Macaca fascicularis: one gene and its partners. The protein of the gene in region 1 interacts with the protein of each later gene in a pairwise test. Links are inferred from orthologs where the notes say so. Each region holds a gene or a part of one and is shown in the gene's direction. Other genes may lie near its edges.

Region 1 (4,211 bases):
ACAAAATGAAAAGAATTTATATGATATATATAACTGTCATGAGTCTAATACTTTATATAGACATTTAATTATCTAGATCACTTATTTTCCTATCTTTTGTACCATTAATGTTTTTCTCCATTAAATTATTCTTTCCCCCATATGCAACATTTTAGGTTGTTCACAATTCGTTGTTATCAATTTGCCATGCCCTTCAATCTTCTCTTTCTCTTTTTCTCTCTTAGCCAATTTACGACACCAGATTAGCCACATATGTTGAGTGTGTGGATCGCCAAAATTATAAACCACAAATGGCATAAGTTTGAGGAATTCAAATAACTCTGGCAAACTCTAACCTCAACTGCACCCAACAAAAATGAACAAGAAAAGACTTTCCCTATCTTAAGCCTCTAAAAACATTTTCATAGAAAGCAGAGTTAAAGCCATCCTGCCACTTCTTTTTAGGCTTTTCAAGACCTAAATTCTCTAGGTCTCATCATCTTTCTCTTTCTATTTATTTATTTATTTAGAAAAGCTATTTGCCATAGGGAAATTTGGATATATAATAAATACATGAGAGAATAAGGTATGCCTAAATGGGACACTTCAGAATCAACATAAATTTTGGATCTCACCTGCAATTTTGAAAGTCCTATTAATTTAAAAACTAGTAAATACCTTAATATTCATGATAGCTTACTGTAAGATTCCCTAGAGGCAATGAAGATGGGAATCTCAAGAAAACTAAAACTACCATACATCTTGGCTTCAGAGGTGAAAATAGGGGGAGAGGATTGGCTAGTTATCAACAGAAGGGAAAGTGCTTTTTGCACAGAGAAAGAATAGACAAGGCAACAAAAGTGGCAAACTGTAAGGGCCAATACACATCCACTGCTTCAAGTTTTTCAGCCATGTTCCATTCTCAGAGATTTCTGGTAGTACTTCAAGAACACCGATCTCCAAACTCCTCCTGAAAAGGGCTAGGAATGCTTCTGCCTGAAGATCTTACCTATTCTTTCTGGGCCCCATGATCTCCCTACATGATTGATCAACCTACTATTTCAACTCGAAAAAGCCTTTTCACAAATGTCAACTTCAGTGAGGCCTCCATTTAAAAATGAACACCCTACCAAGTCCTTTCCTAATTTCTGATTACACCCTGTGAATTTACATCAACCTACCCCACACCCTCAGTTTATGCCTCTTTTGAACATTCCTGCCGGGCTTCTCCTTTAAATCTTGCCTGGAAGGGGCGGAGCTATGTCCCAGGCTCACCGGGAGGAGCGTTCCGTAGGCTCCGCCCACCTACGTCTCAGAGGGCGCCCCAACGAACCCTGGATAAGGTCTCTTCCTAGTCCGCTCCGGAAATGCGACTGCGTACGCGCTGGACACGCAGTCGTGACGTCAGCGCGCCCGCGCCGGCTGGCCGGACGCCCTAGGCTTCCGCGAGATCTTAGGTGGGGGTTCGGTTGCTTTACGCCACGGCACTGCTGCGGTTGGGTTGTCACCTGTAGGCTGTCTGGACCTGGTCACGATTCCACAATGTACCACAACAGTAGCCAGAAGCGGCACTGGACTTTCTCCAGTGAGGAGCAGCTGGCAAGACTGCGGGCCGACGCCAACCGCAAATTCAGATGCAAAGCGGTGGCCAACGGGAAGGTGAGGTTTTCCCGACGGTTGCCCAGTTGCTTGGTCACTAAATTCTGAGCAGCTGCGGGAGCTCTTCTGGCTCCCAGGACAGTCTCACTCCCTCATTTCTCTGCCTCTGCGGCGCGGAGTGCGTTTATCTATTAAAATAAGCGAGCACCTCGCGAGGTTCCGTGGGTACAAAGACGAACAACGCCATCCCCGTGGTCGAATGGCAGACAAGTAACCAGTCTTTGTAACGTGGTGAAGAAGAGAGTAGGTAGTGTGCTAAGGTAGTGCGTGGCAAGAGCCGTTCACTTGTCAAGCGGTGATGTTGGGGAAGGTTTTTCCCAGTAGCCAATGCGGAGAAAATGGGGAAAGGACGTTCCAGGCAGTCAGAACTACCGTGCAGAGTGGGAGGGAGGTCAGAAGTTACAGGGCTGGTGCGTGGACGTGTTTGTGGTCGTATGTGGCCGAATGTGAGTACCTGTACAGGAATGGCTGGGGAGGGTAGGAAGGGAACTTGTTTGTAAGTGGAAGTGAGGCGTTTGAAATTTCCATTGAAAGGATGAGGAACCTTTGAAATATTTAAAATGGGAAGCTAACCTTATCAGATTTCCGTTCTGGAAACAGCGCTCTAGCAACCTCGTGGTGAATGGGTTGGATGAGGCGGGAGACCGGCGACGGAATACAAACCAAGTGACTAAAGATAAGGTTTGGACTGTGGCCCGCTAGCCAAGTCCCTTCTGTTACAGCTCTAGGACTGGTTTAATCTTTCTTACAAGCTCCACTCCAGCAAGTGTTCAGTGCCTCCAAATTACTGACACTGAATTACTTTACTTTCTACCTTTAATTCACATCACTGATTTTAGCACCTGAATTAGTTTCCTTAAGGGCTGCCTTAAAAAAATCACCACAGACTGGGTAGCTTAAAATAACAGAAATTTATTGAAACATTTGCTGTTTTTTTACAACTTGTGTCGTAATGACTGACCGAGAAACGAATGTTGGAAGCTTTCCAATCATATTTGTAAAAAGTCTATCTACTTTTAAATTTGTAAATAATGATATCACAGCTGTGAGCATATGCACATAGCCTATCGTGATTGTTTATATAATGAAGCAAAGGTCTAGCTGACATTCCGAAAAGTTGTGAAATGATGGTACAGTTTTAGTTTATTGTTTTCCTACAGCTATTTTGTGTAATGATTAGCGAATCTATAAAGAAAACGAGGCGTGATATATTCCCCTTCGTTGGAGATATAAACTAAATTTAATCTGGATAGAGAAAAATGTTTTACAATTGTTTAATTCATTGAATTCATTGAACTTGTGTTGTAATTGTTGATCTAAAGGTTCTTCCGAATGATCCAGTCTTTCTTGAGCCTCATGAAGAAATGACACTCTGCAAATACTATGAGAAAAGGTTATTGGAATTCTGTTCGGTGTTTAAGCCAGCAATGCCAAGGTCTGTTGTGGTAAGTTACAGTAGTGATGAAATATAATGTCCTTTAGTTGACTTGTGAAATTTGACCTCTTCTAAATTCCCTGTCCACTCTAGTCTTAAAAATTCACGTTAGTTACAATTAATTAGTTTTTGGCACATTATATCTTTTTCAGTTCAGGCCTTAACTCTTGAATTGCTGTATCATATCTTCAAAAGTATTTCAAGTCTCATTTTGTGGTCAGAAAAAAATTTGAGGTCAGGTAATGTTATAAAGAAAGAAACAAAATAAATTACTTTCCTCTAAGTTCTCAACTAGTGAGCCATAGAACTGGGACTAGAACATAGACTACTTGCTTTTCCAACTCTGTGACACCCAATAAATGTTTGAAGTAATGCATTCTTTCATAATTGGTAATCATATGCCCCAGCTGAAACTGATACCATAAGATTTTTTTAAGCCTTAATTAGTAGAAGCTGGAGTTTTATCTTTGGTTAAAAAAGATTGTCTTATTGCTTCAGATGTATGGTTCTGAGGACCTGTTTGTTTTTTGCTGGGGTGGGCAACCGTGAGGAGAAACAGGTAGCTGAGATTAAAAAGCAGAAAGATAAAAAAGCTAGAGTGGGAGGGTGTTTAAAATGTCTTTACGTTATTCTCTCACAGGTTTGTTGCAAAGAACAAATATAGAAGTGTATCTTAAGTAAAAGACTGTTAAATTTTAAAGTTATACAGTGTGACTAGCTTACGACCGAGTAGAGAATAATCTTCTGGGAAATTATCTCCATTTTTATAGTTGAAAAAAATTTGAAGTATGTTGAAAATATTAAGTCCATAGAATTTATAATTTTTTTTTCATCTGAGATATCAAAGATTCAGAGAGAGTTTTAGGTATACTTGATTAGTTTATATCTTCAGATTTGGTTTATTCTTACAAAAGAACTAAAATGAGGCAGTAAATTTAAGTGATCTTATCAAATGAAGAAAAAAATCCTTTAATGAACTTCTTTATGGAATTTATTTTTAAATAACATGTTTATCATTGGTGAATAATTTTTTGTTATACATAATGACAAAACTAAACTTTTAAAATACTTAAAAGGAAATATTCTTTTTTCTATCATAAAATAGATTAGTGGTTATTTCATTGGTTCCAGCCAAATG
Region 2 (4,293 bases), on another chromosome or scaffold:
AATCATGTCCATCCAGCTTTGGCCAGTTTACTATTCTAGGACTTGATTCCTTCATTCAGTCACAATTTACTGAGCACCAACTTTGCGCCAGGCTCTTGCTGAAGATACAGTGGTGACAATATAGAGCCCTGCCCTCAGAGCTGACAGTCAGTAGCAAGTATTTACTAAGTACTTTCTATGTGCGAGGCCCTGATAAAAGTACTGTCCTGGCTGGGCGCGGTGGCTCACGCCTGTAATTCCACCACTTTGGGAGGCTGAGGTGGGCGGATCACCTAAGATCAGGAGTTCACGATCAGCCTGGCTAACATGGTGAAACCGAGTCTCTACTAAAAATACAAAAATTAGCTAGGCATGATGGTGGGTGCCTATAATCCCAGCTACTCGGGAGGCTGAAACAGGAGAATGACTTGAACCCGGGAGGCGGAGGTTGCAGTGAGCCAAGAGAGCGCCATTGTACTCCAGCCTGGGCGACAGAGCAAGACTGTGTCTCAAAAAAAAAAAAAAAAGTACTGTCCCTGTATTAGTTAACATTCAATTCTCAAAGCCTTAGACTATTTCCATTTTATTGACTAGGAAAACTGAGGCACAGAGAGGTTAAGTTACTCGCCCAAGGCCTGCACAGCAAGTGAGTGCCAGAATCAGATTTGAACCCCAAGCCCAATTCTTAGATATCACATTCTCTTACCAATAACATAATGTATATTATATAACATAATGATGTGATATATATTATATAAAATAACTTTAGGGGCCGGGGGCGGTGGCTCACACCTATAATCCCAGCACTTTGGGAGGCCGAGGCGGGAGGATCACTTGAGGTCAGGAATTCGAGACGAACCTGGGCCGACATGGCGAAACCCCATCTCTACTAAAAATATAAAAAGTAGCCGGGCGTGGTGGTGGACAACTGTAGTCCCAGCTACTCAGCTGGCTGAGATGGGAGAATCGCTTGAACTTGGGAGGCGGAGGTTGCAGTGAGCCAAGATCGCATCACTGCGCTCCAGCCTGGGTGACAGAGCGAGACTCCCTCTCAATAAATAAAAAAAATTTAGGCCCTGAAAAGTTTTGTGAACAAAATCAAGAGGAGTATGTAATGTTTTGGTGGAAGGGTGCCATTTAGAAGGGGGCAATCAGGGAAGGCCTGCTGGAGGAGGTGGTCTTTGAGAAGAGACCTAAAGACAATGAGATCTGTGGGAAGAGAGATCGAAGCAGGCGATGCAAACAAGGAAAAGGCTCCGCGGCAGGCACTGCAAGAAAGCCACCGGTCTGGGATCTAACGTTTCCAAGGTTTTAGCTTCGCCAAGGCCCCTGCGCTGCAATCACCCTGATTCGAGGTGCCCTGGAGGTTACCCGCTCCGCGTGCGAAGTTCTGCCATTCCCGCGGGGCCGGAGCCACGAGGCTGAACTTCCCGCGGGCGGGGGGCGTGGCCGGCTCACCTGCGGGGGCATGGCTCCCAGCCGCCCCGCCCCTCGGAGGAGCCGCCCGCGGTCCCAGACGCCCGGCGCAGCGGGATCGGCGGGGCGTGCCTGGCCTGTGGGACTCGACCGAGCGCAGTGGGGCGAAGCGGGGCCTGGAGCCGCCCGCGGTCAGGTGGGCGCCGGGAGTGGGGCGCGGGACTCTCGGAGAGCCGCGATGATGGGGGGCGGGAGCGAAGGGTGAGGATGGGGCCTGGAGCAACCCTGGGCCCGCTTGTCCTGCGACGGGGAAGGGCCTTGGGGCTCCCAGATGCCCCCTGCCCCGTCCTGGGGCTCTCCGGGGTCTGGAGGCCTGGCTGGGGCCGCGCGCCCCCCACCCCAGCGCAGGTAAACAGCGAGGACGGGGCGGGGCCTAGGGGGAGGGAGGAGGGGGCCCTTGTGACGGCGGGTGAGCCTGGTGCGCGGGGCTGGGCCGGCCAGGGTAAGGTGGTGCGGTTTGCGGGGCTGGGCCACGATGGGAGCCTCCTGCCTGCCTGTGTGTGTGTCAGGCTTTGTGTGTGTGCAAGAGAGTGTGTCAGGCTGTGGGTATGAGGGTGAAAGCGACTGTGTGTACGATGTGACACCTTCAGCAATGTGAAAATGTGGGCGACCTCTGACGGGAATGGTGTGTGTGTGTAGAATCGGATTGTCAATAGCACTTTATGTCTATGACCAAGAGCAAGTGCGACTGTAGTCAACTTTCTGCTTGGCCTGATGTGCATGTGTGTGGCTGTGTGTGTGGCTGTGTGTATGGCAGGGAGTGGAACTGGTTGTAGGATTAGGTGTGAATGTTGACCAAGGGGTTGTGCAGCTGTGGTTGTCTTTCTGCCTGTTGGTGTGTGTGGTGGACAGTGTGTTGCACTGGATCAGTGATAGGTGACTATGATTGACTTTTGATTGTCACTGATGGTGTATGGGGTGGGCGGAACTGTGTCCAGAAGCGAGACCGTTTCATGGGACGTTGTGTGTGGAACCTTGGGGTTGGATGAGTGAGGTGTGGAGGTGTGTAAAGCTGTGTGTGTGTGTGTAGAGAGGAACTGGAGGGTGTGTGACCTGCATTGATGCCGTGGCTGGCAGTGGTGTGCAATGGAGAGTTTATTGTGGAGCTGTGTAGTGTGGGAGATGGGAGTGGAGACGCGGACATTTAGGTGGGGTGCTGCTCTGAGCAGATGACCGGATGGAAAAGGGGGTCAGCCCCAGGGATCGGTGTGTGGGACTGTGCCTATGATTATCAGCTGTGCGGTTTTGTACCCAGGGCTCTGTGTGAGGGTGGGAGCTGCTATGTGTCTGGGACACAGCCCGTGTGCTGGATGGCAGTGGTTAAGCCGTGTTTGTTGCTGTGGTTGTCCATCTGGCTGTGGAGTGGTGTGTGTAAGGCTGTGTCTGAGGTTATGGAGGGAGGTTGTTACATCGGCAAAATTGTGTGAAGAATGGTTGTGGTTGTCAGGATGACTCTTGATGAGCCTGTGTGGTTGTGAGTTCAACCATTTATGATGTTTGTGAGTGAGGTGTGAGACTAGGTATGGTGTGACATACACATGCACATAGAGATTGGCCGGGTGCAGTGGCTCATACCTGTAATCTCAACACTTTGGAAGGCTGAAGTGAGGGGATTGCTTGAACCCAGGAGTCCTAGACTAGCCTGGGAAATATGGTGATACCCCATCTCTACAAAAAAACAAAAATGAGCTAGGCATAGTTTAGTTTTTTAAAAAATGATCAAGTCTGTGGTGCACAGAATGTACAGGACCCTTTATGTGATCGTGCGTGTGCAACCTGTGCAGAAACCGCTGGGCTCCTTATGGTGGATGCAGTGGCTCGAGTGAAGAGTGTGAGAATGTGGCATCCCTCTACGCATATTCACAGCTCTCTGTTCCTACTGAATGCAAGTATTCATGAGTGCATGGCGTGTAGGTGTGGGAGTCCCTGCTGGCCAGGCGTGGAGGGGGAGGAAGAGGAAGTGGGGAAACTGGTGAGGGATCAACAGTGAATCCTGGGAATGTGTGCATCTGAAGGTGCGTTGGGCACATTGTGGGGAGTTGGGCTGTGTGAGTTCGGGGGACAATGAGTGTCACGGTCAAGTACAAGGAGATGGTCTGAATGTGAGTGATTTGGGGAGTGGGAGAGACAGAGTTAGTTTCTGCGTGGGTTGGCTTTTTCTCTTTTTTTTTTTTTTTTTTGAGACGGAGTCTCGCTCTGTCGCCCAGACTGGAGTGTGGTGGTGTGATCTTGGCTCACTGCAACCTCTGCCTCTTGGGTTCAAGCGATTCTCGTGCCTCAGCCTCCTGAGTAGCTGGGACTACAGACGCATACCACCACGCCTGGCTACTTTTGTATTTTTAGTAGAGCCGGGGTTTCACCATGTTGGCCAGGCTGGTCTCAAACTCCTGACCTCAACTGATCCACCCACCTCAGCCTCCCAAAGTGCTGAGATCACAGGCATGAGCCACTGCGCCCAGGCTTGGCTTTTATTTCTAAGAGAATATACCTGTGTGTTAGGTGGGATTTGCAAAAGGGGAGTGTGTACAGATTGATTTTGAAAGAATAGCGTATGTGTGCGCCTAAGTCGGTGTGTTGTCTTAGGTTGTATTTCTAAAAGGAAAATGTAGGTGTTTGTATTGAGTTGTATATTTAATAGAAGTGAGTACGTGTTGTTATTTCTAAGAGGTGAATGTATATTATGTTGTCTTTCCTTTCCTTTTCCCTTTCCCTTTCCCCTTCCCTTCCCTTTCCTTTCCTTTTTTCTAGACTGGGTCTTACTCTCTCGCCCAGGCTGAGTGTAGTGGCACTATCATGGCTCACTGCACCTTCAACCTCCTGGGTTCAAGCAATCCTTCT
Region 3 (4,001 bases), on another chromosome or scaffold:
CCTAGTCTTCTGCAGTGCCCCCAGGCTTGCTAGGATTAGGAAATTCCAGCCTGGCAAATTCTAGTCAGACCAGTTCTCTGCTCTTGAACCTTGTTTATCCATGACAATGTGTGCACAGCTGGACATGGAAGTTCATTAGTGATTCTAGTTTCACTCTGACTTTGTGATCTCGCCCTGACCTCCTGCCTTGTGATCTTTTGTCGCCCTTGAAGCATGTGATCTCTGTGACCCACACTCGATTTGTGCACTCCCTCTCTTTTGAAAATTGCTAATAAAAACTTGCTGGTTTTGTGGCTCAGGGGGCATGATGGAACCTCCTGACATGTGATGTCTCCCCTAGACACCGAGCTTTAAAATTTCTCTCTTTTGTACTCTTTCCCTTTATTTCTCAGACCAGCTGACACTTAGGGAAAATAGAAAAGAACCTACGTGAAATATTGGGGGCTGAATTTCCCCCAATAGTCCTCCCTATACAAGAGATAAATAAAAGATACTCATAGTACTGAGTATCTTCCTGCAGCATTCAATCTGGAGCAAAGCCGGCTTCCTTAAACCCTTTCCAAAAATCCCCAGATAAAAGCCCAAAATCTGTATAGGATCTTCCTAACATCCTCGTGCTGAGATGCCCTGAAACTCTCCATAGCTCATGACTGAGTAATAAAACCAACTTGCTTAATTAAAGTTGGTTTCGGGTAGTCCTGGCTGGAGGACATTGACTTACAAAAATATAGGATTAACATCTTCAAAATAAATAGACAGTAAACATCAACAAGGATTCACACACCAATAATGAAATTGGGCAGAAAAAGGAAAAATAATCATAAGATGCAAAGTACAGATGGCTTTATAATACTGAAAATAATTGTACTTCAAATGCATAAAATGACGCTTCTGATTCAGCCGGCGCGACCTTTATTTCACATTTGAGTTCAGCTGCTCCTGATGTCTCTCTCCTGAAAATTTCAATATTAAAAGCCAGAGAAACCCTGTATTTGGGGAAGCTTATCCTTTACCATCAACTTTGGGGTGGGGGTCAGAGGGAACAGGGCACGAAACGCCGCGCTGAATGGGGCCGAAGCTCCGCCCCTTAGCGATAAGTCCATTTTCCTGCGGCCAACGTGGTCCTCCAAGGGAGCAGCTGAGCCGCTGAGGCTGGCAAGTCCCAGGGGAAGGATGTTCTAGCCGGAGCCTACTCGATGGTAGGGCAGGAGCCGCCTGGTGTCCGGGCGCGGCCATGTTGGAGGCTCCGGGCCCGAGTCATGGCTGCGAGCCCTGCAACCCCGGTGCCAGCAGAGCCACCTGCGCCGGGCAGATGCTGGAAGTGCAGCGAGGACTGTATCTCAGTGGGGTCGCGGCCGTCGCGGAGCCAGACCACTTGAGGGAAGCGGGCATCACGGCCGTGCTAACGGTGGACTCGGAGGAGCCCAGCTTCAAGGCGGGGCCTGGGGTCGAGGATCTGTGGCGCCTCTTCGTGCCAGCGCTGGACAAACCCGAGACCGATCTGCTCAGCCATCTGGACCGGTGCGTGGCCTTCATCGGTCAGGCCCGCGCTGAGGGCCGTACGGTGTTGGTGCACTGGTGAGTGGCCGGGTCAGTGGGCGACGTGCCCCGCCAAGCACCCCTTTCCTTCCGAGGCCCTCGGGAGGACGAGAGCGCGGTCATGCCGCGTGAACCTCCTCCAGCTACCTCCCGCAGGAGGCGTGTATCCAAGAGAGGAGGAGGCTGGAGGCGGGCCCCTGGTGTGTGCAGGCTTTCATTCATTCATGCTTTAGTTGGTTCTTCCTGCTGCAACAGAGGGCGGGGGAGGTGTCATCCGATAAATGACAAATTACCTACGCCCCAAGGAGTTTACAGCTCTGTTGGAGAAGCTAGACACCCACCGATGATTGTAATGCAGATTAGGTTGCTTGGTGTCTTGTAAACAGGATTTACAAAGATTTAGGGTTCAATGTTTTTGTTTGGGATGGGTAGGGGGTGGTTGATGAAGAGGAGAATTGGTTTGGATCTAAAGGATCCCTGGGCTTTACCTAGGGAGGAGATAGTTGCAGCAAAGACAAAAAGAAAATGGGAATCCCGGCAGGGCGCGGTGGCTCACGCCTGTAGTCCCAGCACTTTGGGAGGCAGGCGGATCACGAGGTCAGGAGTTCCAGACCAGCCTGGCCAATATGGTGAAACCACGTCTCTAACAAAAATACAAAAATTAGCCGGGCGTGGTGGCGCTCGTCTGTAGTCTCAGCTACTCGGGAGGCTGAGGCAGGAGAATCACTTTGAACCTGGGAGGCAGAGGTTGCAGGGAGCCGAGGTTGTGCCACAGCACTCCAGCCTGGGCAACAGAGCAAGACTCCATCTCAAAAAAAAAAAAAAAAAAAAAGAAAAGAAAAGAAAATGGGAATCCCTAAGCAGTTCTTGGTTGGATTGGAGTATAATAACAATAGTTTAAATTTATTGAGCACATAAAAGACAGAAGATAGTGATAGAATCGAAAGAAGTCTGGGACCAGATTTTGAGGTCCCTGAATGCTAAGATGAAAGGAGATTGGATTTGTTTTTGTTTTGTTTTATTTATTTTTATTTTGAGTCTTGCTCTGTCACCCAGGCTGCAGTGTAGTAGCGTAATTACGGCTCACTGCAGTCTCAACCTCCCAGGCTCAAGTGATCCTCCCGCCTCAGCCTCCAGAGTAGCTGGGACTACAGGCACGCGCCACCACATCCGGCTAATTTTTTGTAGAGGTGGGGTCTCACTTTGTTGCCCAGGCTGGTCTCCAACTCCTGGGCTCAAGCAATCCCGTACCTCGGCCTCCCAAAGTGCTGGGATTTCAGGGGTAAGTAAGCCACTGTGTCTAGCCAGGAGTTTGGATTTGTTCTGAGCCATTATAAAAATTTTAAAAATTACTGTTATTATTTTTGAATAGGTAATACAGTCACATGGTTCAGAATTCAAAAGGAAAAAGGAATAATTCTTTTGTACCTGATAATATTTCAGAGGCAATGGGCTTATCTGAGAAGTAGAAATGAAGTGGGCCTAAACTTTACTATTAATAGGGGGCTGGGTTTTGTGTGTTTGTTTTTAATTGTTGCTATTTGCTGTTTTATTTTAAAGGTCTCTTTTTCAGTCACGCAGGAGTCAGTCGAAGTGTGGCCATAATAACTGCTTTTCTCATGAAGACTGACCTACTTCCCTTTGAAAAAGCCTATGAAAAGCTCCAGATTCTCAAACCAGAGGCCAAGTGGGTTCTTTTTTTTATAGTAATAATTCTGCTTTTGTGATGTTATTTTAAGAAAATGAAACTTTGTATTTCTTTATCATTACAGGATGAATGAGGGGTTTGAGTGGCAACTGAAATTATACCAGGCAATGGGATATGAAGTGGATACCTCTAGTGCAATTTATAAGCAATATCGTTTACAAAAGGTTACAGAGAAGTATCCAGGTAAGTAATAATCACTAGTGTGTAATGGGCTTTCTAAATGTCATTTACTTTTGGCATTGCATGCATTACCTCACTTCCAGCAATCCCCGAGAAACTATTGTTTCTTTTTGAAACTGATTTAGCCAGAAATAACTTATTCAAAATCACATGGTTTATAAATGGTAGGGTTGGGATTTGAACTCGGTCAGCCTGTGCCCAGAACCTAAGTACTTAAATCACTGTCCTCTCCTACCTTAGCCTGATTTCTCAACACTGGAATTTGATTTTTTTTTTTTTATTTTAATTTCTGAGGTTAGCACTTCTTGCCTCAATTTGACATTAACTGAATTTATCTGAAAATGCAGTTGATTTTGACAAATAAATACATTTTAGTTATATCATATAGAATTGCAGAATTTACCTCAAGAACTCTTTGCTGTTGACCCAACCACGGTTTCACAAGGATTGAAAGATGAGGTTCTCTACAAGTGTAGAAAGTGCAGGTAAAATATTTTGTATCCTTTGGATATTTTATCTTCTCAGTAACTGAAAAGTAGCTAAAGTTTTATTTTCTTAAATTTCTGTAGGAAGA

Evidence for each region.
Region 2: the proteins of CCNH (region 1) and KLC3 interact in binary tests that used the Homo sapiens proteins (3 or more experiments, as listed by UniProt). The two-hybrid records come from large-scale screens. The link is inferred for Macaca fascicularis from reciprocal best matches to the Homo sapiens genes CCNH and KLC3.
Region 3: the proteins of CCNH (region 1) and DUSP12 interact in binary tests that used the Homo sapiens proteins (3 or more experiments, as listed by UniProt). The two-hybrid records come from large-scale screens. The link is inferred for Macaca fascicularis from reciprocal best matches to the Homo sapiens genes CCNH and DUSP12.

What each region holds. Positions count from the first base shown.
Region 1 is NC_088380.1:91,395,782-91,399,992, reverse strand, and holds the start of CCNH (cyclin-H), read left to right. Parts: upstream 1-1,411; 5' UTR 1,412-1,521; coding exon 1,522-1,638; intron 1,639-2,960; coding exon 2,961-3,083; intron 3,084-4,211. UniProt on the Homo sapiens protein: Regulates CDK7, the catalytic subunit of the CDK-activating kinase (CAK) enzymatic complex. CAK activates the cyclin-associated kinases CDK1, CDK2, CDK4 and CDK6 by threonine phosphorylation.
Region 2 is NC_088393.1:53,392,238-53,396,530, forward strand, and holds the start of KLC3 (kinesin light chain 3), read left to right. Parts: upstream 1-1,493; 5' UTR 1,494-1,803; intron 1,804-4,293. UniProt on the Homo sapiens protein: Kinesin is a microtubule-associated force-producing protein that may play a role in organelle transport. Plays a role during spermiogenesis in the development of the sperm tail midpiece and in the normal function of spermatozoa.
Region 3 is NC_088375.1:99,344,690-99,348,690, reverse strand, and holds the start of DUSP12 (dual specificity protein phosphatase 12), read left to right. Parts: upstream 1-1,201; 5' UTR 1,202-1,234; coding exon 1,235-1,578; intron 1,579-1,631; exon of another isoform or gene 1,632-1,660; coding exon of another isoform or gene 1,661-1,739; intron 1,740-3,112; coding exon 3,113-3,226; intron 3,227-3,311; coding exon 3,312-3,430; intron 3,431-3,815; coding exon 3,816-3,912; intron 3,913-4,001. UniProt on the Homo sapiens protein: Dual specificity phosphatase; can dephosphorylate both phosphotyrosine and phosphoserine or phosphothreonine residues. Can dephosphorylate glucokinase (in vitro).